3 linked regions of the Ovis aries genome follow. The protein of the gene in region 2 interacts with the protein of the main gene of each other region in a biochemical or structural test. Links are inferred from orthologs where the notes say so. Each region holds a gene or a part of one and is shown on either strand. Other genes may lie near its edges.

What was found. The genes of interacting proteins can lie anywhere in the genome.
Region 1: of the proteins of LRRK2 (region 2) and MAP2K6, one has a biochemical effect on the other in vitro, tested with the Homo sapiens proteins (2 studies listed by BioGRID). The link is inferred for Ovis aries from reciprocal best matches to the Homo sapiens genes LRRK2 and MAP2K6.
Region 3: of the proteins of LRRK2 (region 2) and RAB5B, one has a biochemical effect on the other in vitro, tested with the Homo sapiens proteins (2 studies listed by IntAct). The link is inferred for Ovis aries from reciprocal best matches to the Homo sapiens genes LRRK2 and RAB5B.

The regions. Positions count from the first base shown.
Region 1 is NC_056064.1:60,331,766-60,339,239, reverse strand, and holds part of MAP2K6 (dual specificity mitogen-activated protein kinase kinase 6), read left to right. Parts: intron 1-2,311; coding exon 2,312-2,360; intron 2,361-3,353; coding exon 3,354-3,467; intron 3,468-5,052; coding exon 5,053-5,172; intron 5,173-6,401; coding exon 6,402-6,518; intron 6,519-7,191; coding exon 7,192-7,243; intron 7,244-7,474. UniProt on the Homo sapiens protein: Dual specificity protein kinase which acts as an essential component of the MAP kinase signal transduction pathway.
Region 2 is NC_056056.1:146,908,305-146,916,578, reverse strand, and holds part of LRRK2 (leucine-rich repeat serine/threonine-protein kinase 2), read left to right. Parts: intron 1-1,418; coding exon 1,419-1,648; intron 1,649-2,058; coding exon 2,059-2,186; intron 2,187-3,776; coding exon 3,777-3,995; intron 3,996-7,297; coding exon 7,298-7,499; intron 7,500-8,073; coding exon 8,074-8,162; intron 8,163-8,274. UniProt on the Homo sapiens protein: Serine/threonine-protein kinase which phosphorylates a broad range of proteins involved in multiple processes such as neuronal plasticity, innate immunity, autophagy, and vesicle trafficking.
Region 3 is NC_056056.1:163,537,591-163,545,064, forward strand, and holds part of RAB5B (ras-related protein Rab-5B), read right to left. Parts: intron 5,922-7,474; exon of another isoform or gene 5,810-5,921; intron 4,998-5,809; 5' UTR 4,899-4,997; coding exon 4,736-4,898; exon of another isoform or gene 3,644-4,735; coding exon 3,492-3,643; exon of another isoform or gene 3,222-3,491; coding exon 3,099-3,221; exon of another isoform or gene 2,548-3,098; coding exon 2,454-2,547; exon of another isoform or gene 2,136-2,453; coding exon 2,020-2,135; 3' UTR 1-2,019. UniProt on the Homo sapiens protein: The small GTPases Rab are key regulators of intracellular membrane trafficking, from the formation of transport vesicles to their fusion with membranes.

The sequences.
Region 1 (7,474 bases), on a different chromosome or scaffold from region 2:
TGAACAGTTACTTTCATAAATCGAAGCTGGCTGTTTATAGAAAACAATCATAGCAGGTGGCCTCTGGAGTACCTTTGGCCTTACAGAGTTAGGAGTTTTGTAATGAGTTTGCTTCTCGTCCCGGAGGACTGAAATATTGAAAAAGCAACACAGAATGTCCTCCCACGGTTTAAACCTCAGTGCCCCAGACAGACGAGTGTGCCCTGGACCAGTTACAGTGTCAACTAACCCAAGACAAGCTGTCCACCTCAGGCCTTCATCTGATGCTTCTGGCCGCCTTGCTGAGCCCAAAGCCCTCGTGGTGGGGGTTGGTGATCAATTACACTAGAAGGGGTCTGGATGGGGCAGGTTCCTTGGATTCAGTCGGATGTGGATTGAATCAGAGCTTCACCACTCGGGAGCAAGATAGCTTAAGTCTCAGTCAAACAGGTTTTCATCTGGAATGTGGGAATAATGACTCTTCTGGGTGTGTGTGTGTCTGTGTGTGTGTGTGGACGATAGGAAGTGCAAGGAAAGCACTTAACCCAGTTTTCAGTGTCTATACCCCCTTCTCCTTAGGTCAAGGCTGAGACTCGGATGACATGAGTTTTATTTTCAGCCCTGGTGAGGACTGTGTGTTCAGCATATCGCTGAGTTTTTCTGGGTTTCATTTTTCTCATTCTGGAAAATGGCACGAAACCCTCCTATTAGTAGAGTTATAATGCAAGGTTAGAATAAAACTGGAATCAGCCAACTTTTTGTGCCAAAGACCAGATAGTAAATATTTGGGGCTACCGGGCCACAATGGCCTTGCTGAAGACCGTTTCTTGTTTGTTTTTTACAGCCCTTTAAACGTGTAAAATCCACCCATTGCTGGGTCACAGACTAATTTATGGGCCTCCCTGGTGGCTCAGCGATAAGGAATCCTCCTGCAATGCAGGAGCCGCAGGAGGCCTGGGTTTGATCTCTGGTTTGGAAAGATCCCCTGGAGGAGGAAATGGCAACCCGCTCCAGCATTCTTGCCTGGAGAATCCCATGGACAGAGGAGTCTGGCGGGCTACAGTCCGCGGGATCTCGAAGAGTCAGACCCGACTGAAGCGACTCAGCACGCACTGACTGTGATATGCAGAGCCCTTGTATGAATACTAGGATATTAGATCTGGAAGAGGTCTTACCCAGCAGCCTCGCTGGATGGCGTGCCCTTGGAGGTGGCCCTGAATAATTAACTAGTGACCTTTTCTGTTGCTTCATTCTTTGCAAAAGGAAGGGTCTGAACAATTGCAAAGGGTTTTTCACTGTTTATATTAGTCACATGTTTCAAATAATATTTGCCTTTATTTCAAATTTCTGTTGCAATTAGTACAAGCAGATCGTGACAACTAAAGAAAAGAGCTTCAGAGGTTTTAAGAGTGAGAAATCAGATTTTTCAGAAAATTTAATTCCTCTGGAAGGCGTTTCTGAAGAAAAATTCCCTGCTTAGAAACACGGGATTTATAAAAGCATCACCTGTGTGTGTGTGTTCATCTTTATCCCTGCCTCTCAGTCTGGGTTTTAAATTAATTTAGAAAAACCTTAGTTTGTATTTTCTATTCATTTCAGAAGGATTCCCATTAAAGCCTTAGATTGATGTGTTATCTGTGTTTATGTTCATACATTTTCATTATTGTTTTATTTAGTTAGTTTCAGTAGGAAAGGTAGAATTATACACAGTAACCCACGAGGCTCCTCTGTCCCGGGGATTCTCCAGGCAAGAACACTGGAGTGGGTTGCCACGCCTTCCTCCAGGGGATCTTCCTGACCCAGGGATGGAACCCAGGTCTCCGAATTGCAGGTGGATTCTTTACCACTAGTGCCAGCTGGGAAGCCTATAGACGTGTGTGTGTGTGCGTGTGTGTGTGTGTTGTTATGTGAATAATTAGGCTATTCCAATAAGCCCCTGTGTAAGTAATTACAGTATATATAATTATTTTATAAAACATATATTATGTATGTTATTACATATATAGTTTATATATATGCATATTTATATTTTGAATGTATGCCAGTCATTCTGCTAATAAGCATTTTGCTTAGGACATCTCCTTTAGCAGCCACTCTTGTTCTGTGAGGAAGTGTACGAATATCTTCGTAATAGAGAAGAAATTGAGGTTCAGAGACTGGTTTCTAAGAGCATCTGTTTTTCTCCAATTCCCACACTATTAACCTCTTGATGCTGCTTTATTTTACTCACGAGCTCTCACCTTATTTTTAGGGAGAACTCTCTCCAGTCTCGTAGGCTTTGGGAAGATCGCATTCGATTAAATATCTCATGTTTTTCCTTTCTCTGTTGCAGGCCACCTCGGGATTTAGACTCCAAAGCTTGCATTTCTATTGGAAATCAGGTGAGAAAAGTCGTGTCTTCCAGTTAATGTCTTGACCCTTTTATATGTATACTTTGTGACTGGCCAGTGGGAAAAAATGAATTTTCCATAACATGCTGTCAGGGGTTGGGTCAATAACGTTTGAATGTAAACAGAAGTGGCCTGTGGAGCAGTTGCTGTTTTAAATGTCAAATCGGGATCGGGCTGTTGTGGTTCTGATGGAAGGTCTCTGAGGCAAAGAGATGGTTTGTTTTGGGCTGCGCTTTGCAAAGTCCAGGCCTAGAGCTAGTCGCCAGGAGTCAGCAAGGGACCTGAGGGGCCATCGAGGGCCGGAGCTGAAGACCCGCTGTGCGGGGTCAGCGCTCCCTGTGCCGTTCAGCGCCTGAGCTGGAACTGGACCTCTGTATTGCCCAGGATAAAGGGGGGCCCACAGCGGGCATCTGCACATCTCCCAGGCACTTCTTGCTTTCAGTGGCTGCTTGGCAAAGCTTCTAGACCAGAAGGTTCTCGACCAGAAAGGACCCTTGGACTGCTCAGAGGAACCAGAGGGAGGACAGGGCAGCCTGTGTCTGGTTTCTTTCCTTTTTTCCTATTGCTGAGCACCAAAGAATGGATGCTTTTGAACTGTGGTGTTGGAGAAGACTCTTGAGAGTCCCTTGGACTGCAGGGAGATCCAACCAGTCCATCCTAAAGGCGATCAGTCCTGAGTGTTCATTGGCAGGACTGATGTTGAAGCTGAAACTCCAATAGTTTGGCCACCTGATGCGAAGAACTGACTTGGAAAAGACCCTAATGCTGGGAAAGATTGAAGGCGGGAGGAGAAGGGGGTGACAGAGGATGAGATGGTTGGATGGCATCACCAACTTGATGGATGTGAGTTTGAGTATCCAGGAGTTGGTGATGGACAGGGAGGCCTGGCGTGCTGCAGTCCGTGGGGTCGCCAAGAGTCGGACACGACTGAGTGACTGAGCTGAGCTGAACTTCCTGTTGTACCCTTGCTTCTCTCTCCCGCAGAACTTCGAGGTGAAGGCGGATGACCTGGAGCCCATCGTGGAGCTGGGCCGGGGGGCGTACGGGGTGGTGGAGAGGATGCGGCATGTGCCCAGCGGGCAGATCATGGCGGTGAAGGTAGCGTTTGCGTTCCCCAGACACTTGCCGGTCCTGGTCGGGATGTTTGGCCCTCTCAGCTGCACACGGGCTTCTTTCACAGAAGCGGGACAGTCCTCTGTGGGGGGAGACAGAAAAGCCTATTTGTGGCGAACGATATTTCCCTCCAAATATGTCCAAGCGCCTCCTTGGAATAAACAGCAGCACCTGGCTTTTGGACTGCTGAACCCTACCCCCTGTTTTTAATTGTTTTGTGCGACGACCGCATCGCGCTTCCCTGGTGGCTTGCGCTTGCGATGCGGGACGCGTGGGTCGGGAAAATCCCCTAGAGAACGGAACGGCTACTCCCGCCAGTATTCTTGCCTGGAGAATTCCATGGACAGAGGAGCCTGGTGGGCCATACAGCCCATGGGGGTCACAAGAGTCAGACTTGACCTGGTGGCTAAACCGCCACGACCACCAGCCGCATCATCACACGTAAGAGAACCAGCAGTGCTTGCTCACTCTCATCCACCGCCAGGTCCGAACGAACGTCGCCTTGAGCGTTCCAAAGCTGTCACTGTCTTTTCTCCTGTTGGGTTTTCAAGTCGGCACCCAAATGCGAGCTTGCACGTGGCATTTGGTTTTCTGTCTTACGAGTCTCTTTTTAAGCTTTATTCTGTTGCTTTTAAAGAATCTGTCCCTGAAAATCAGGAAACCCAAACTGAGAGACAAAATTGCCTCCATTTGTGGAAACAGAGGAGGGTAAAGTCATCTTGAGCGAATTTGCATAGTTTTGGAGCTATAAAAAGAAATTTAGAATCGTCGCATATTTCTTGAGTGGATGTTGGGAGGACCTTGGAGCGGGCCCAGTGTGTTCTAGCTGGGTTGTCAGGCATGTGGATGGTCAGATGGCCTGGATTCCTTTTTTTTTTTTTTTTTTTTGGAGAATGCTGACATCTTTCCCTTACCTTGTAGATTTTTCAGTTTCATCTCCTGCAGACTCTTTGCTCCACAGGCAAAAAATGTGAAAGCCTCATGATACTATGTTGTCGTTTAATGACACAGCCGTGTTGTCTGTGGGGCTGCCCTTACTGGTGTGGTTAGTCTGTCTTCTCTTAGACATGAACTGTGTCTCCATCTCAGTTCAGCTCCTCCTTATCCCATTCCTCAGTCAACTAACTCTTCTGCAGTTTCTGTTTAGGGTCCAGATTTTTTTACCTGTTCATAAAGAGGGAATTTTGGCTTTTTTTTTTTCCTTGTATGAGCCCAAATCAGCCCCACATCAATGAATACTCTGGCCTCTTTACACTAAACCCACACGATAAGTCAGACTGTTTTGTAACTTGGGAATGTCTTCCCAAACATTTGCGCACTCTCCACCGTAGATGACCAGTTGGCTTCTCTCCTGGGGATTATTCGGTAAATGAAATGAATAGCAGTCTTCCTTACTTTTCATTTGTTACAGATAGGTAATCCTTTAGGGTAGGTATTTGAACAGTTGTTGCTAGAAGCTGTGCTGTGAATTTTCCTACTGTTCTCGGGAGGGGATCCTTTGAGGTCCCTGCCTTGTCGACAGACCCACCCTCAGGGCAGTAACCATCCATTTTCCATGCCTTCCGATCAGCGGATCCGGGCCACGGTCAACAGCCAAGAGCAGAAGCGGCTGCTGATGGATCTGGACATCTCCATGAGGACCGTGGACTGCCCCTTCACGGTCACCTTTTACGGCGCACTCTTTCGCGAGGTAGGTGGTAGTACCTTCAAAGCTGCAAGGCAAGCGGTGACTGAGAAAGACGTCCCCCCAATCTCACAAACACCAGCAGTCACAGGGCGCTTCCTTGTCCGACGTGTCTTCTGTGGAGAGTTTCATGCTCGTGAAATGTTGGTGCAAAGTTAGCTGGAAACCATGGTATTTTCCAATGTGTTTAGCCCTTTCAAAATGCTGGGGTTCCCTTTCTCCTTCCTGTTCTGGTTTGTCTCTTTCGGCAGAGCGGTCTCTATCAACCTATAGGTGTATTTATGTCAGTCCCTTGAAATCTCAAATACTCTGGTCTTTTGGCCTCTTGATAAGCTCCAGGCAGGCTTGTGCAGTGGATTGGCCTCATATCTGCTTCTTTTTTCTGATTCTCCTTCTCACTTGACGATGATATGTGTTGTTGTCCCCTCCCCTTTCTAAGCACTTTTTTATTAGGGTATACTTGATTTACAGTGCTGTTAGTTTCTGCTAACAGTGAATCAGCTCCATGTACATATATATATATATATACATATATATATATATATACTCACACTTTTTAAGATATTTCCCCATACAGCCCATTACAGAGTGTTTGAGTAGAGTTTCCTGTGCTATACATAGGTCCTTATTATTACCTGTTTTCATCTCCCTCTTATAACCAGCTTTAAATGATAAGCTGTTGCCCGTGGTCAGTGTGGGAAGTCAGGCATAGAGTTGGTATCTGGTCGTAACTCCCAGAGCAGGGGTCGCCCACCTCCAGGACTTAATGCCCGACGTTCCAAGGTGGAGCTGAGGCACCAGTAATAGAAGCAAAACGCATGATACATGTAATGCGCTTGAATCATCCTGAAACCGTGCTCCCCCACCCTGCTCTGGTCCACGGACAAATTATCTTCCACGGAACTGGTCCCTGATGCCAAAAAGCCTGGAGACTGCTGTCTTAGATAACAGTAACGGTAAAGGCTTGGGAGCCTGTTGCTTGTGGGTGTAAGCATTTAGAACCTAGTTTTCATGAAGGAGTGGGTGATCACAGGCAGATCTGTTTGGCTGTCTGCTAGCTTGCTGTTTGGAGGTAATATTGCCCATTTATAGATTTCATTGAGATCTTGAAGGACAGTGTGCATTTCCTTCAAAAGCTCACGCAGGGAGTGGCCCGTCCTCCTGACAGATGCTAACTGCTTCCTCCTCTCGCCTTTCCATCCTCACTGACTGTCTCGGAACCAACCGGCCTCCAGGGGGATGTCTGGATCTGCATGGAGCTCATGGACACGTCCCTAGATAAATTCTACAAGCAAGTGATCGATAAAGGCCAAACAATTCCAGAGGACATCTTAGGGAAAATAGCAGTTTCTGTGAGTACATCGCGAGCCCCAGCCCTGTCCAAGGAGCGCGGGGGGTCTGGGCCTCGTGTTTCGCTGTTCCCTCCGTATGGGGAAACACCACCTGGACCGGAGCGCCCATCCCATCTGTGTGTGTTGATTGCACGGGTGTGTAAGTGGATGGATCGATGGATGCTTCTCTTTCTGGGCTTGACCTACACGAAGTTCTGCTCCTGACTCGGCCTGGGAGGCTTTCAGCTGAAATGCCTCTGAGCAGCACGTTCATCGGCTAGGACCACGTTCCTGGTGTCCATGTTCTGATACTGGTTTGTCTTGATTTTCGTTTGTGGAGTTGTAAATGTTTCCTTAGGGTTAATAGGCACAGAAGGGAGCAGGCAGAAGAGGACGCTGCTCCCTTCACAGCTACCGAGGCCCAGGATAGGGGAGAGGAAGAGACGCTGGGGGTCAAGGTAGAGAATCAGAACATACCAGTGAGGCTGCCTCTCTGCGCTCTGACGTCATCTCTCTGCTGGGCAGGCTCTAATTTGTACGACTTCCAGTGTATTTTCCTGGCTAGGAACACCACTTTTGGAGAAAATACCTCCCCTTGGGACTATAAGCCAGGGATAATAAATGGGGATTTACTTAAGATGCAGTTGCTTTCCAGGGATGGGGGGCATAAATCCACCTCGTGTTTCTCTTGCAGATTGTAAAAGCCTTAGAGCATTTACACAGTAAGCTGTCTGTCATTCACCGAGGTAAGTGTCCATGCGGCTGCCTTGGCTATCAATTTTATCTCTTTCACCTGAGTTTTATTAATTTCTGTTTTCACGCCACTGGATGAAATTGAGTCAGGCGAGAGAACAGAGGAGGGGCTTTCCTTGGGATTGGATAGCAGATTGTGTAAGGAGCTGCTCAGTATCATGTCTGAGGACATCAGGGGATGGGAGCTGTGGATTAGACCTCCTTGAATGTGAACTGCCCTGTTG
Region 2 (8,274 bases):
CAGATTCAGTGCAATCCCTATCAAATGGCCACCAATGGCATTCCTCACAGAATTAGAACAAAAATTTTATAGTTTGTATGGAAACACAAAAGACCTTGAAAAGCTAAAGTCATCTTGTAAAAGATAAATGGGGCAGCAGGAATCAGGTTCCCTGTCTTCAAACTATACTACAAAGCTATATTAATCAAAACACTGTAGTATAGTACTGGCACAAAAAATAGAAATATAGACCAGCAGTACAGGATGGAAAGCCCTGAGATAAACCCACATATTTATGGTCACCTAATCTATAACAAAGGAGGCAAGAGAAAAGACAGCCTCTTCAGTAAGTGGTGCTGGGGAATCTGGACAGTTACATGTAAAAGAATGAAATTAGAATTCTACCTCATATCATATAAAAAAAAAACTCAAAATGGATTAAAGACTGGAAACTGTAAAACGCTTAGAGGAAAACAGGAAAAATACTCTTTGACATAAATCACAGCAAGATCTTTTTTTGACTTATCCCGTAAAATAATGACAATAAAAACAAATAATTGGCACCTAATTAAGCATAAAAACTTTTGCACAGCAAAGGAAACCATAAACAAGATGAGAAGACAACTCTCAGGATGGGAGAAAATATTTGCAAATGAAGCAACAGACAAAGGATTAACCTTTAAAATATACAAACAGCCTATGGAGCTCAATATCAAAAAAATCAAACAATCCAATAAAAAACAGGTGAAAGACCTAAATAGACATCTCTACAAAGAAGACATACAGATGGCCATAAGGCATATGAAAAGATGGTCAGTATCACTAATTCTTAGAGAATGCAAATCAAAACTACAATGAGGTATCACCTCGCATCAGCCAGAATGGCCATCATCAAAAAATCTATAAGCAATAAATGCTGGAGAGGGTGTGGATAAAAGGAAACCCTCTTACACTGTTAGTGGGAATGCAAATTGGTATAATCACTGTGGAGAACATTATGGAGGTTCTTTAAAAAACTAAACATAGATCTACCTTGATTCTTTATCCTATGGGCTTTGTAAAATTTTAGGCTTTATAATTTTTAGAGTTTTATTTGTGATATTTAAAGAAATTTTGTATGTGTTTTATATAAAATTTTAATGAGTATTACAAATATTTTGATACTTTGATTCTTTCTCGTGTCATTATATTTGATGAGGCTTCCGATAGGCTTCCGATCATTATCAGCTAGACCAACCAACATCACTAGCAAAGTAGATATATTAACAATGCATTGAAAGACACATGCATTATTAAGTTAGTATGAGTTATGTGCTCTTTTGCATACTGTACATTATGACATTTTGATATTTAAAATAATTCAGTGCATAAGAATTCACCTATAGCCTAAGTACACTGTTAAGCAGTTTATTATTTTATTTTTGTTTTTCAAATACCAGGTTTCTTCAGCAGCGGTTGAAAAAGGCTGTGCCCTATAACCGAATGAAACTTATGATTGTGGGAAATACTGGGAGTGGCAAGACCACCTTATTGCAGCAATTAATGAAAATCAAGAAATCAGATCTTGGGATGCAAGGTGCCACAGTTGGCATTGATGTGAAAGACTGGCCCATCCAAATAAGAGGCAAAGGGAAGAAAGACCTCATTCTGAATGTATGGGATTTTGCAGGTATTTATTTTGCTAAAATTTTTTATTCAGATATCTTTTTAAAAACGGATTTAAAAACTGGATTTTCTGTTCCAATACTACAGAGACCTGATGGATCATATGGAATTATTCCAAAGTCATTTATTTCTCCTAATTCTTCCCTTGCCCCCAGAATGAAGAAGCAATGGAAGGAAATGTTAGGAACCAGCACGTGTCAGCTGAAGCTACATAGCTGACACATTAGCAAGAAGTTGTCAATCCCTAGTAAAAACCCAGTGTAATCTTGTAGCTATTATCTTTTGATTGTTTCTCTCTCTCTCTTTTTTTTTTTGTATGGTATATAGTGGGTAGTGCCACCTAACTTTATTTTTGAAGAAGAGAATTCTTGTCTATTCTCTGGAAGACTGAAAAGTTCTCCAATCTTTATTTAGGTCGTGAGGAATTCTACAGCACTCATCCCCACTTTATGACCCAACGAGCCTTGTATCTTGCGGTCTATGACCTCAGCAAAGGACAAGCAGAAGTTGATGCCATGAAGCCTTGGCTTTTCAATATAAAGGTGATATGATCTAATAATTTGAGAATAGAAAATATTTCATGAGTTTTCTTATTCTATATAAGGTGATTTATTTGGGGCAAATAGTACCATCAAGCAGACTTTTCAAATACTTTTTTGCAAGAAAGTTAGAAGCACTTAAACTTTGAGTTAGGAAATTTTTAGGAGTAATTAAGTTGTGACATGAAAATAGTATGTTCTATGTTAATGAAAGGTATAGAAACTTGAAGCTTTTTTAATCTATTAAAAATGAGAATATATGTTAGGCTATTTTTATATTCTTTTTTATTTTATTTTATTTATTTATTGGCTGCACTGTGTGGCTTGCAAGATCTAAGTTCTCTGACCAGGGATTGTACTTGGACCATGGCAGTGAAAGCCCCAAAATCCTAACCACGAGGGTATCAGGGAGCTCCCTGGTATTATTACTTATGTATAATATGAATTTCCTTAATTTAAAATAAACTGTAGTAAGAAAAAGAAGCAATCTATGCATTACCAACTGTGTCCTCAGAGGCAATTTAGTATAAAGCCCTGTGGGACTTACAGTTTTAAATGGTCCCAGATGAATATTATATATTTGAAATTTTGCAACTTTTCCATTTTGTCTCTTGCTGTTAGATATTCCTTCATGTATATATGGTTTTAAAAATCTGTGCCTTTTTATAATTGATACTAAAGTAAAAATGAATGGTCATTGAATAATGCTCTAGTAGGCTCTTCTGTGAGGCAAATCTGAGCCACCAGGGAAGCCTACTATTAAGAGACATTTCTAAGTATAAAGACAGGCCAACTTAAAAAGTATCAGTGGATACACGCTTGACTTTATCTTATAATCTATAGACAATACATTAGAATATGTAATGAATCCATACACCTTTTCCAAAGGAATACCTAAGACAGAAGTAGCAATAAAGTTATAAATGACAGTCATCAATCAGATGAAATAATTTAGATGAAGTTTTTCTCTCTCAAAGAGATGGGGACTGGGCAAGTGGTCAGGATGGAAATACAATGTGCTTTTAACTTTGCATGAAAGATAATGTTCAGTTCCACTCGCTGAACATAGTTCTGTTTTTGCCAAATAAATCCTCTACTTCAAATTACTGTCCAAATGCTTTATTACTTTAGTGACTTGTTTTTTCTTTGTAGAAGCCACACTGAATTACTATAATATGAATTAATGAGCTTTAATTCACAGATAAGGAAGAGAAAATATAAAACAAATTGTATTACTCTGATATTATTTGGGTGTTATTAAATATTATTTTATCTAGAAGCCCAAAGCACACTTAAAGAATAACCCATTTTAGGCAGAGAGGAAAGAAATGTGTTATTACTGTCACATGGACCACCTGAAAAGTGACAATAACTAGATTAAGAAGGAGCATAAAAATGACTTTTAAAAATTTCTTAAGTTTAATTTGTTCCCTTAGGTTTAAGGAAGGGAAGACAGTTGTCATTTTCTTCTTGAAGTCTTTTGAATTCTCATTTCGATTCTAGTGAATTTCATAGAAAGTGAATATCAGTGGAAATATAAGCAGTCTTGATTTTTAAAACAAACACAAGAGTGTTTTGTGTCTTCCCCCATAGGCCCGTGCTTCTTCTTCTCCTGTGATTCTTGTTGGTACACATTTAGATGTTACTGATGAGAAGCAGCGCAAAGCCTGTATCAGTAAAATTACCAAGGAACTCTTGAACAAACGAGGATTTCCTGCAATACGAGATTACCACTTTGTGAATGCCACTGAGGAATCTGATGCTTTGGCAAAACTTCGGAAAACCATCATCAATGAGAGCCTTAATTTCAAGGTAACATGGTTCATTGCCTACCCTAGGTGGTAGATAAATATAATTTATTAACTGTTACATTCTGCAACTGCTAAGAAATGTCAGCAGTCTTGAGAAAAGAATAACTATCTTAAAAGTATGGGGTTTTCTTAGCTGTTAGCATTATTCAAGTACTTTTAATTTTAAAATTATTTATGTTAGACTTAATTTTGAACTCACAGAATTGGGAATTAGAAATAATTGAGGATCCTGAGAGAAACTAAAAGGATATCTGAGAGGCTGAGAGAATGTTCCTGAGAGAATCTGGGGACATGTTTTTGATGCCCTTTCTCTCCCAACATCCTATAGTAGTGATTCAGTCAAAAGGATAACGATGGATGTTGGGGTCTTGGAGTGATCTTTCTTGTATTTTTCTTTGACTGTTTTTTCTCCATCTGCTCCTTTTGGAGTTTCTGTTTTATGCTCGTCTTGGTCTTTGTTGTTCCTTCATGTCTTTGTCACTGTGATTCCCCCTTTCAAATATTTTTTTTCCTTCAATATTGAGAGAAGGCTCTTCCATCTGGTCACCACGGTCACTAATTTGGTTTTCAACAATGTGTAAGCAATATTCTAGTTCATACAAACTTTATGTCAAGAGTTATGTTTTTGATTTACAAAGTTTTTCTTTCTGGTAAGACAAATAGAGTTCATAGAGTTCATAAAACACAAATAAATTGGTTAACAAATGCTTGTTTTTAATACAAAAGAGAAAGAAATTTTACCTGGGCTCTACAGATAGCAAGGGGTAAACTGTACTGAAAAACACTTTGAATAGTTCCATATGACAAACACAATAGTGGATTTCACCGTTAGTCTCTATTGGTTTAGCTCATTAGTACTAACGATCAAAGCTGTGGCTTCTAACAAGGGTCTTGTTTTGCCTGGACAGTCCCAGTGTAATTATTAATTGTGTCTCACTACATTCTCAGAAGCATTCCAGTTTGGATGATAAATTACACGGTCACCTTGGTTATAACACATTATCCAGTTAGCTTAGTTCTGTTCCATTTCCACAGATTATGCTCTGTCTAAAACTTAATGAGCCATTTATAAGTGTGCCAGTCTTTGTGGTGCTCAGAGAGAGAATTTGCACATTTATATCTTTCCACACATTTATCACAATCAATAAAAGCTTTTACAAATGTGGGTCAATGGAAATTTTATGTTAGAAGAATAAAGTATCATTTATCTCTAGTTTTTGCTACTCTTTTGTGAGACATATGATTAAAGAGTGATATGACTTTTAAGAAACAAATGCACCAAATTAATATATTCAATTAAATATCCTCTTTACCCAGGGAATTTCCTTTTGAGACTATATCTATACTTACAGAACTTTGCTGTTACTTATAATATTTTAATAGCTTCTCTCTTATCATTGATATCAGACCATTTATCATATTTTAAAAAAGAATTCTTAAAGTATGAGTTTGTTTTGAGAAAATCTGGATTTAGTTGAGGAAGTCTATGAAAAGAGTAGTTGATTCATCAAGCTGGACTGGTACTACTTTAGGCTAACAGCAAGTTAGACCAGTTTACTGGTGATAAGACCAGTCTGTTTTCTGCGCTTGTACGTGAACTCTGAAGGCAATACCGGATGAGGAGGTTAAAAACAAATGCTTTGAGAAATGGCATTATTATTTGAAGGAAGGTATATATTGCAAATGCATGCATCATTCTGTTATATTGGTTTGAAAATTCAATTGGCTGCTTTGCAGAATAGTGATTCAGATGACCCCAGAACAATAAGCCTGCCAGAACTTGAATATTCTTTCCTTCCTGAGGTGCCTCAACCTGTATTCAGTCAGCAGCTTTTAAGCTGTTAGAAATCTTTTTTGTTTGGTCTTTCATTTGTTTTTCATCTTTTCCTTTTATCTTGATCTTTTCTAATCTTTGTGTGTCTCACTCTTATTAACATGTGTCCATGCAGAGTTTAGAATAAAAGCTTTCTGTTTTTGACTGTCGGTGACCCGATGATAAAGGTTAAAGGAAGTAGGACAAAATAGAAATCAGTGCCAACAATGTCCCTCTCAGGCTTGTCCAGCCCCTTAGCAGAGTGGGATCCTTTGCTCACCCTGTAATCTAGCTCTGTAAAGTCCATCCCTTTGTTTCTTGACTACTGTGTGAACTTGTTTACTTTTATATGTAGGTTTCCCTTCTTGGGTTAAACGCAGACTTCAATCTGAAGTTCTGTTTTATCTTAATTTATAAATGATGAAGAGAGGGAATATGAAAAGTGGAGGTTAGTGAAATTATATTTAATTTTCTGGTTCAAGGGGTACCTCAAAACAATCCTGATTGTTTGGAAGTAAATATGTAAGTAATGGTTACGGCTGCTATAAATTAGGCTCCTGAAGGATCAAGTTAAGAGTAGAAAAAGAACAAGTATAAAGTTTGTGTGTGTGTGTGTGCAGGTATAATAAACCCAATTTCTATTTGTAATAAGTTGAAGAGTTCAAGTAGAAATTTTATTCTTTATTGTCAAGAATATATTCATGGGTTGAGAAATGAGGAGAGTTTGCCACCTGGTGGTTTGCAAAGGCATTTACTATTATTAAAGTTGTATTTCTATTTAAAATTAGATTTTTAAGAAGAAAAAATGTTTGGAAATATTTTTATTACAGAAACTTTCATATAAGATCATACTATTAAAATTTTGATTTTAATTAGATTCTAAGTGTAAGAGACCCCAAATCATCCTCTCGTATAGAATCATTGGGTTTAGATGATTTTTTATTTTTCCAAGTTCAAGTCTCCATGAAAAAGCATAGCTTAATGAGGAAATTTCATGTCTGTCTCCAGACTTCACTGTTGAAATGTACATCCCACTAATATTACATTTTGCAAATAGCAAGAAGAAAATGTAGTTTTACTTTGGGATGTGGATAGTTTCATCTAAAAAATAAAGTCCAAAAGCTCTTACAATCCTGACTTTTATGTTAGCATATCTGTTACCTGTAGATTTAATGTCTTAGAAAATAGTAGGTCCTTTATTTAAGGTTAATGATTTGTCCTGGATTTCGCCATGGATTTTCTGAATACCTTGATAATTATTTCCATACAATGTTATTTGATAGTTCTTTCCAAATTGGCTTCTGTGTTCACTTTTTTTTTCTTATTTTAAGGTAATCTTATTTATTTCTCATGATTTAATTAGTTTTACATTGCATCTTGATTTTATTAAAAATAATCATTTTCTGAATGATTAGCGCAGAATTTACCAACCACCTGACACACAGATGCATAAAATGGATTTTTACAGCTTGTCATCTGTAATTTCATAGATCCGAGATCAGCCTGTTGTTGGGCAGCTGATTCCAGACTGCTATGTAGAACTTGAGAAAATCATTTTATCAGAGCGTAAAAATGTGCCAATTGAATTTCCTGTAATTGACCGGAAACGATTATTACAACTTGTGAGAGAACATCAGCTGCAGTTAGATGAAAATGAGCTTCCTCATGCAGTTCACTTTCTAAATGAATCAGGTTTGTTTATTACATATTTTTTCAAAGTTCTGCAGTAGAGTTGGTGAAAATGTGTCTGACCCTTGTATAGGATTTACATTTAAAAGAATATTGACAAAATTCTTTAATAGGTAGCTGATTTTTTTTCTTTTGGAAAGATCATCATGTGTACTGATGTTGAATCATATATTATGTCATAAGAGAAAAATTTAGAAATTATCTAACGACTAGTGGAAAAAGTCTCTCAGCCAGAGTTAAAACATGTGGATTCTAGAGCTTGACCGTAGTATTCAGGAGCTCTGAAACTCTAAGTTCAAGCTATATCCTTCATAGTATCAAGTGAATTTAGTGTATGTGGAAGTTATTTGTACACTCGCAGGAGAATTATTATTGTGATGGTTTAACTTGGCACTTGGAGAATCAATGGTTGACTGAGATGAAAGCTGGGATGCCCTGGTTCTGGTCTCAGCTCTGATCCCAACAATGCTGAAGTTTTCTAATCTGTAAAATGAGGAGACTGGGCTAGATTCTCTCTGAAGCCCCTTGATATTTTCATATTCTAAATCCCATGTTTCACTTTTGATTTTTCCTACAGGGGTCCTTCTTCATTTTCAAGACCCAGCACTGCAGTTAAGTGACTTATATTTTGTAGAACCCAAGTGGCTTTGTAAAGTCATGGCACAGGTTGGTATATTATACTTCTGAGGCATGGGGGTAATGAACTTCAGGTGACACCTAGAGTACTGAGCTTTATAGAGTTTGTGTTTAGTTAAGGTAGAGACTCCAATACTTTGGC
Region 3 (7,474 bases), about 17 Mb from region 2:
CTGGGTGCTTCAGGGGGCTAATGGGTGCTGGGAAAAGAGGGGGAGAATATGCGTTTCAGGGCCGTGGGAACTAAGGCTGCCCCGGGGAAAGGAAGGGAATTGAGGCATAAGTGGAAGAACCTAAGCTCAGTCCTTCAGAATCTCAGCGTCATGGATTTCTCAGCTGCTCTGGGACAGAAAGCAGTCTACAAGCCCAAAGGGTAGAACGGCTCCAATCCTAGTTCACTATGGCCTCTCCTATCTTGTTTCCCCCAATTTCCCCAAAATTCTAAGGTAGAACAAGAAGGAATTTAGAGTTCTCTCTTGCCTTAATGGCTTCCCAAAGACATCCTAAAATACTTGATGAGGGACGTGGAGAGAGGCTAGAGATTTAGAAAGGACCAATGTCCTCTGTTGATGTGAGACAGTCGTGAGGGACCTTGAGTGCCAGTCATTCCCTGTCCACAGGAACAGGTGTTATGAGGGGCCACAGGTAGACCTCTGTGGTACAATTCCCTAGTGGTATGTGGATTAAACCACTGGCTGCATGGGGGATGAGTTTGGGGCAGTAAGCATGGTAAACTGAAGATACTAACAAAGGAGAAAAGAAATCGGGCCTGATGGGAGGTAGGGGGTCAGAACAGACTGTACAGTGGGAATAAAGATCATACCTATTTACAGGGAAGTAGAAAAGACATGGTAATGGGTGGATCAAATTCACTGGGAACCCTGGAAAAGCACAGAAAACTCCTCCCTCTGGCTGGACTCTTCTTCACTCCCCTACAGTGAGTGGCCTATGCTATCCTGAGACTGCTCTCCAGTTGCTCAGTTAATTTCCCAGGAAAGGTAAACCTATACCCAAGAGTTAGGTTGGCAAGAATATAGGTGAAGTAAGAATTAGAGGAAGCTAGCAGTTGAGACTGGGCTTGACTAGCTGCCACCGGTATGGTTCTCTGCAGCCCCTCCTCAAATCTCATATACACATTGGATTCCACTTAATTAAAAAGAGGGCAAGTAAATCAACCAAACCACCCATTAAACAAGTATCACAACTGAACTACCATCAATTAAAGTGCAAACTGCAGGGGGATATGGTGGCTGGGGCTGAGGCCATCTGAAGGCCAGAGAGAAAAAAATGCCTAAGTCAGAGGATGGGTATCAGAAACTGGTCCCTCCTCCATTTAGATCACAGCAGAGCCAAAGAGGCAGGCAACCAGTGAAGATTCTTTGGAGGACTCTGGGGTCCAGAATCTCCCCCATTATGGGGGAGAAGCTACTAAGAAGCTGGGTGAGGGGGAAATAGGCCTTGGAAGAGTTCTATGAGCCACAGATGACACTGCCTCTCCACCCCTTCCACTTCTGCCCAGTCAGCCAATAGCAAGACTCCAACCTGGTGCCCGGGAGCTGGCCGTCCCATTCCCACCTCTACCTAGAAAAACCCTCCACAAGGCCAACTCATGGACGCTGCAGTGCTTTCAAATATGAGAAACTCCAACCAAACAAAACCAAAAAGGCAATGTTTCCTTACTCTCCCCTGCTCTGAGCCTTACTTTTCCCCCAAGGCCCTTAATGTGACTGAACTGGAAACCTTCCTCAGTTCCTGAGTTCACCACCTTCTCCATCCTGGGGAGAGGAGGAAAAGGAGATCAAGAACAGAAACTGACCAAAAGCAGAAGGGGAAGGGGCAGGAGACCAAAAAAAAAATTTTCTGAAAAAATGGGCAGGAGGAGGAGGAGGAAAGATGAGTACGTCACTGTCTTGCACCCATAATACAAAGTGAAGAAAGTTTGTTTTGGAAGGTAAGTCCTCGGGGATCAGACCCCCAAGCCCCAGAGTAGGGGTAGGAGGCCAGTGGCAACAGCTGCCTGGTGTTGTTGCTGAAGCGTTAAAAAGTGCCATGACGGAGCTGTCAAGAGGCAGCCCTTGGGAGCCAGGGCTCAGTGTGCTGTTACCGTAGGGGCTGTGTGCTGAGGGGTGGGGATGGAGGTTATTTCTTAGCTCTCGTGCTAGCTCCATACTTGTTTGCTGCTAGCCAACCCCTCAGTTGCTACAACACTGGCTCTTGTTCTGCTGGGACTGCTCGTGAAGATCCACACCTCGGCTTCGGCCTGCTGCACCCCCTAGATTCTGGGGTTCACTCTTTGGCAACTTCTTAGCTAGAGATAAAAACAGAAGGGAACAAAGTATGGTAGATTTTACTCATCTCCCCAAAAAAGACTATTGGGGGAAAGGGGAAATGTGAGAGACTAAAAGAATGTTCTCAAGAGGGGAGGGTTCATTGCAAACAACATTGAAGATGAGGGGGCTCAAGCTGCAACGAAAGGATGGAGGTCACAATGGAAAGTTACAGTATATTAACACCTAAAGTTTTCATAAAGGGAGACACTCCCATTTATCCTTATGACCTGGGTTAGTAATCTTGCCTAGAGGCAAGGGAAAAACAACAGGAAGACCTCAGGCTGCTCTGACCTTACCTATTGCCAGGAAGAGATCGTTCACGTTCATAGCTGTCTTGGCGGAAGTCTCCATAAACAATAAGCTGTTGTCATCTGCATACGCCTGGGCCTCCTGTAAGGGGTGGGGTATACTGGTACTCAGACTGTAGGGCAGGGACAAAGTACAGCCTTTCCACTCCCATGTAGCACTGGAGCTAGGCAACATCCTAGGTTCCCTCCCCTCTGAGCCAGCTGCCCCTGGACCCATAATTTGGTGATGACTCCCTCAGGGAATATCCCATGGTCTCTACCACTTAATCCAACAAACAGATGTCAGGAAACTTAATTACAGGGAAGAAGGTAAGTTGGTTAGGGGCTTTTGGGTTCTGACACTTGAGTCCCTTACCTCAAATTCAATTGCTCCCTCCTTCCTCTTTTCACACTGGTACCCCCACAGCTGGTACTGGTACTCCCCTACCCCTCTGCTCTGGAATTTTCTTCTGACTCCTCTAAAATCTCCTGGCTGGCATTAGGGTCACAGTGCTGCTGTATTTAACTTGGTGAAGAACTGGGGAATGAGATGATGAATGTCCTCAGATGAGGTTTTCAGAGAGGGCAGGTTTGGAAAAAAGAGGTCCCAAGCATAGAGGGAGTGTGTCAGGAAGGACTTGGTGGCCAGCTTACTTCATACTCCACCATGCGCTTGTTGGCCAGGTCGGCTTTGTTCCCTGCCAGGGCAATAACGATGCTAGGACTGGCCTGTCGCTGTAGTTCTTTTACCCATGTCTTCGCTCGGGCGAAGGTTTCCTAGGAAAACACAAGGATGAGAATGGGTAGGCTAGAAAGACTGCCAATCTAGGGCTATCACCTTCAAAGTCCAATCTCAAAACTCACCTCTTCTAAGCAGCCGTTACTCACTGAAACCATCTGTTTCTGGTAATTCATTACCTCTGTCTTCTCAACACTTGGAAGCATAATTTGTATTCTTATTTTGCTATTTCAAGAACCGGTTTTCTCTCCCCCACCTAATTTAATTCCTATAAATAAAAGCAAGGACAATCTTCTCAGCCCACTTACCTGATTAGTAATGTCATAAACCACAATGGCAGCTTGGGCACCTCTGTAGTACATGGGGGCCAAGCTATGGTATCGCTCCTGCCCAGCTGTGTCCCAGATCTCAAACTTGACTGTCGTGTCATCTAGACAAACAGACTGGGTAAGGAAGGCCGCTATGAATGAGAGAACAGAGGAAAGTTGGTGTAAGTGGGAGAATGCACTGGAACATCCCACCTTCCTTCAAAATATCTCCACTGTCAGTCTAAGACCAGTCACTACCCAGGCCGTTCAGCTACAGGAAAAGGTTTAGCATTCTCCTCCTTATACCCTGGAAAGGTTTAGCATTTTCCTTCGGGTCCTGGCACCAGAATTAAGCCTGCTCTTGGCTAAATCCTTCCTGCGAGAAGTCTTTCCAGCTAAGGAATGGGGGCGCCATGGTAAACTCTGAGGGCTAGAAAGAACCAGCTTTAATACCAGAGTCAACACTTTTCTAACCAAAATAGATTAAGAGATAATGAGAGACAATAAGCTTCAGATAAAAGTCATATCAAGAACTGATTCGAAGATTTTAAAGCCTGATGTGAGGCCCCACCATTATATTATCTGGCTATTACTTTTTTATATCACTTCTGCTGGTCTAAGAATGTATTTCCAAGGTAAGTAATAAAAGTGGAGAAGGAGAAATGTGGGGAGTTCTCATGTTGAATTAGCACCCATTTCGGGATAGTGGTAGACAGAAGGTAGCCAAGGTAGCAAACGCATATTTATCTTTTGTATTTAGTTCTAACCTCTGCTTTACCAGGTGTGTGCATCAAAGATCTAAGGAGCTTTTCCAAACACACGTCTATACTGCCACCAATCTCACCCTCCTTCCGAAACTAATCAGCCAGTCTGAGGCAGGGCCCAGCATGCTCCCCAGGAGTTTCAGATGTACACCTCTGATTATGAGCCACTGCCCCAAATCACCCCTGCTCAAGATGAACCTCAACTGAACTTCACTGGCATTAAGATGAGAGCAGGAAGAGGAAAAGAGTCTGAGATTTTTTTTAAAAAGTGGTTTTTTGGTGCTCAAAGGCCAACCTTTCTAACTTTCTTCTAGGAAGAGGATGAACAGAGACCTGTTTTGGGGCATTTTGGCAATTTTTTTGTTTCATAAAAGATTTTCATTACAGGGAGCTAAGAGGGCCGGTGGCATAATCAGATCCCTAGATCTCCCTTCAATAGCCCTTCTAAACACTAATCTCTTCTCTCCCTGAAGTACTTACCTCCAATGGTGCTCTCCTGGTACTCGTGGAACTGCCCTTTGACAAAACGTAATACCAGGCTAGATTTCCCCACTGCAGATTCACCCAGCAGGACCAGTTTGAACTGGCATATTTTGCTGGCCTGGGGCTGCCCATTGGGCCTGGCTGTGCTTCTGCTAGTCATGGCTAGATTATCAGAGTGGGAAAGGGTGGAGGGAGGGGGATGCCACAAAGCGGCAGAGGGGGGAGGGGGAGGGGAGGGGACGTCCAGGCTTCAACAATTCTGCAAGAAAAAAAGCGGGTAAAATTAAACACAGGGCCATGACAACGGCATTCATGTTTTAAAAGAAAGGACAGAATCTCTTCATTTCTTTGCTCCAATCAGGACTTAAGTCTTATAATTATCCACCATTAAAAGCTTACACCACTGAGAGGGTCCCATGCACCTGGCACTCCGTGGTTAAGAGTGGGGATCAAGAAAATAAGATAGCATTTAGAGTAGAGTGTGCAACAACAGAGAGACTAAAAACCGTGTGAGAGTAGTCTCTAATCTCCCACTCATCCCCACCAGATCTTCAAGGAATAGCAAATCGATCAACATTTAGTTGGCCTAAAGAACACCCAGGTCCACCAGAAAGTACCCCAGATCACTACTATCTCTTTGGTGTCCTGGTGCTGTCCCTTTTTTACCCTCCCCTTTTTTCTAGCCTTCAAAATGAGAAATTCACTCTAGGGGTGTAGGTAACAGTCATCCCTCTAAAGAGCAAAGGGATAGCTTCTGGTTCTACATCGTTCATACATGACCACTTCCGAAAACTGACATTTCTGATAATCAAACCAGGATCCAACTACCAGAAAAATCTATCCTTTCTCATTTTTGCTCAAAGGTAACAGAGAAACAGACTACATTCACTGTTAACTCTTTCCCTTTGCTTCTGCCACCCCTCTGAGTCTGAAAATCTATCAAGTCTGAGTCAGTAGGCTTGATTTACTCTCAACTTGCAGCTCTCTTCTTGATGCCTAGGGATAAGACTACTCTCTACACTGAAAAGGCCTAACAGCTGTAGCCCTCCAAAGCAGAGAAAGAAGGTGTACCTTCTAAACACATGCAGGAAATCTCCAGAAGATGGCACAGGAATAAGTCTTCAAGCAATAAATACTCGATAAAACTGAACCACCTTCTCTACCTTCTAAGTGGCTAGGAAAGCTGGTGGTGCAGAGGAGACAGAGAGAAGTTGGGACTTTGAGTGTCCAATTATCCAAACCTGACTATATTTCATCATCCTGATTCTGAGGGGAAAAGAACTATGAAATTCAAAGAAGCGTTAGCATGATCAGAACATGCAAAACCACCTCATCCCAAAACTAAGCACTGCTTGGATTGTACTTTGCTGGTTCAAACTGATGTTTCCCTTCTCCAAGGCTGATTCTAGTGACTCTATAAACATCATATTCTGTGACATATATAGTGAAAAAATAATTACTTTGGGATCAAATCAGGGTTAAAAATATCTGCAATATTAGTAAACATGGAAAGGATAGAAAAGCCATACAGAAAGAAGCACAGAGGAACAAAAGCTGTGGAGTCCAGTTCACTGGATTCATTTTAGTTCTGCTTACTAGCTATGAACTTTTGGACAAACTACTAAATTTACCTGTGCATTTGTTTCCTCATCTATAAAATGGGATAACAGTCTATGAGCACCTACTTCAAAAGGTGTTGTGAGGACTAAATGCAATAATACATATAAAGAACATAAATATTTAACAAAAGGTACTATATCCATGAATATTAAGTGACTCATCATTATTAATATGACATCAAGAAAATTTCTCTTCCTGAGCCTTACCTTCTACCTTTATAAAATGGAAAAAATACCTATCCCATAGAATAGCCCTAAGGATTAAGTGAAACATGTGTTTAATATAGGGCTGATAAATAGTAAGACAGGTATTATTTAGTGGCCCTGATTCACAGAAATAATCAGTTTAATATATTAAAGGACATCTCAATATTAGTTGTTATCAATATAATCCTAAAGAGCAGCCATCATATGAAGGAGGTAGAGCAAAAAAAGAAAAAAAAAAGTAGAAGAAGTTAACAGGGAAATGAGATAGAAATGAGAAAGCCCAGAAAAGTCTCAGCTAGACTAGATTAAGACAGAGGACTGTATAAAATTACTCTGATCCTACTGGGTATTTTGTAGTCCCCCAGGTCAATGAGTCCTAAGAATTCAGATATACATGTGCCACTTTGTGATGAATTTTTCACTGGTTTATGATGAAATGATTAAAATAAAAATGATACAGCAAGTTTTTCACAAAGCTAAATTTATTCAATTTAAGAGTATCCTTTATAACACGATTTCTAACTTCTTAGTATCAATTTTCTCTCAAAGGTAAAATATGTATTTATTGCATGGATAAGCCTCTAAGACCTACAGTTCAATTTAAAAAAAAGCAAAACACTTGGCTGATTCTATTTCTATAAACAAAGCAAAATTCTACAAATAAAATGGTATGGAAAGATACATGCTCATCTGTTAACAGTGGTTACTTCCCTCTAGGGAGAATGAGACTAAGGAAAATGGTATGTAAAGAACTCAAGATATTTTTATTCTACATAAATCTTTTTTTATTAACAGGAAATATACACATATATATTTAAAGTTTCCTACATAACTTTTTTTTGAAATAAATAATGGTGTTGCTAGTCAGTAGTAAGCTTTCTAAATATACTTATGTGGAAAAACAGAGACC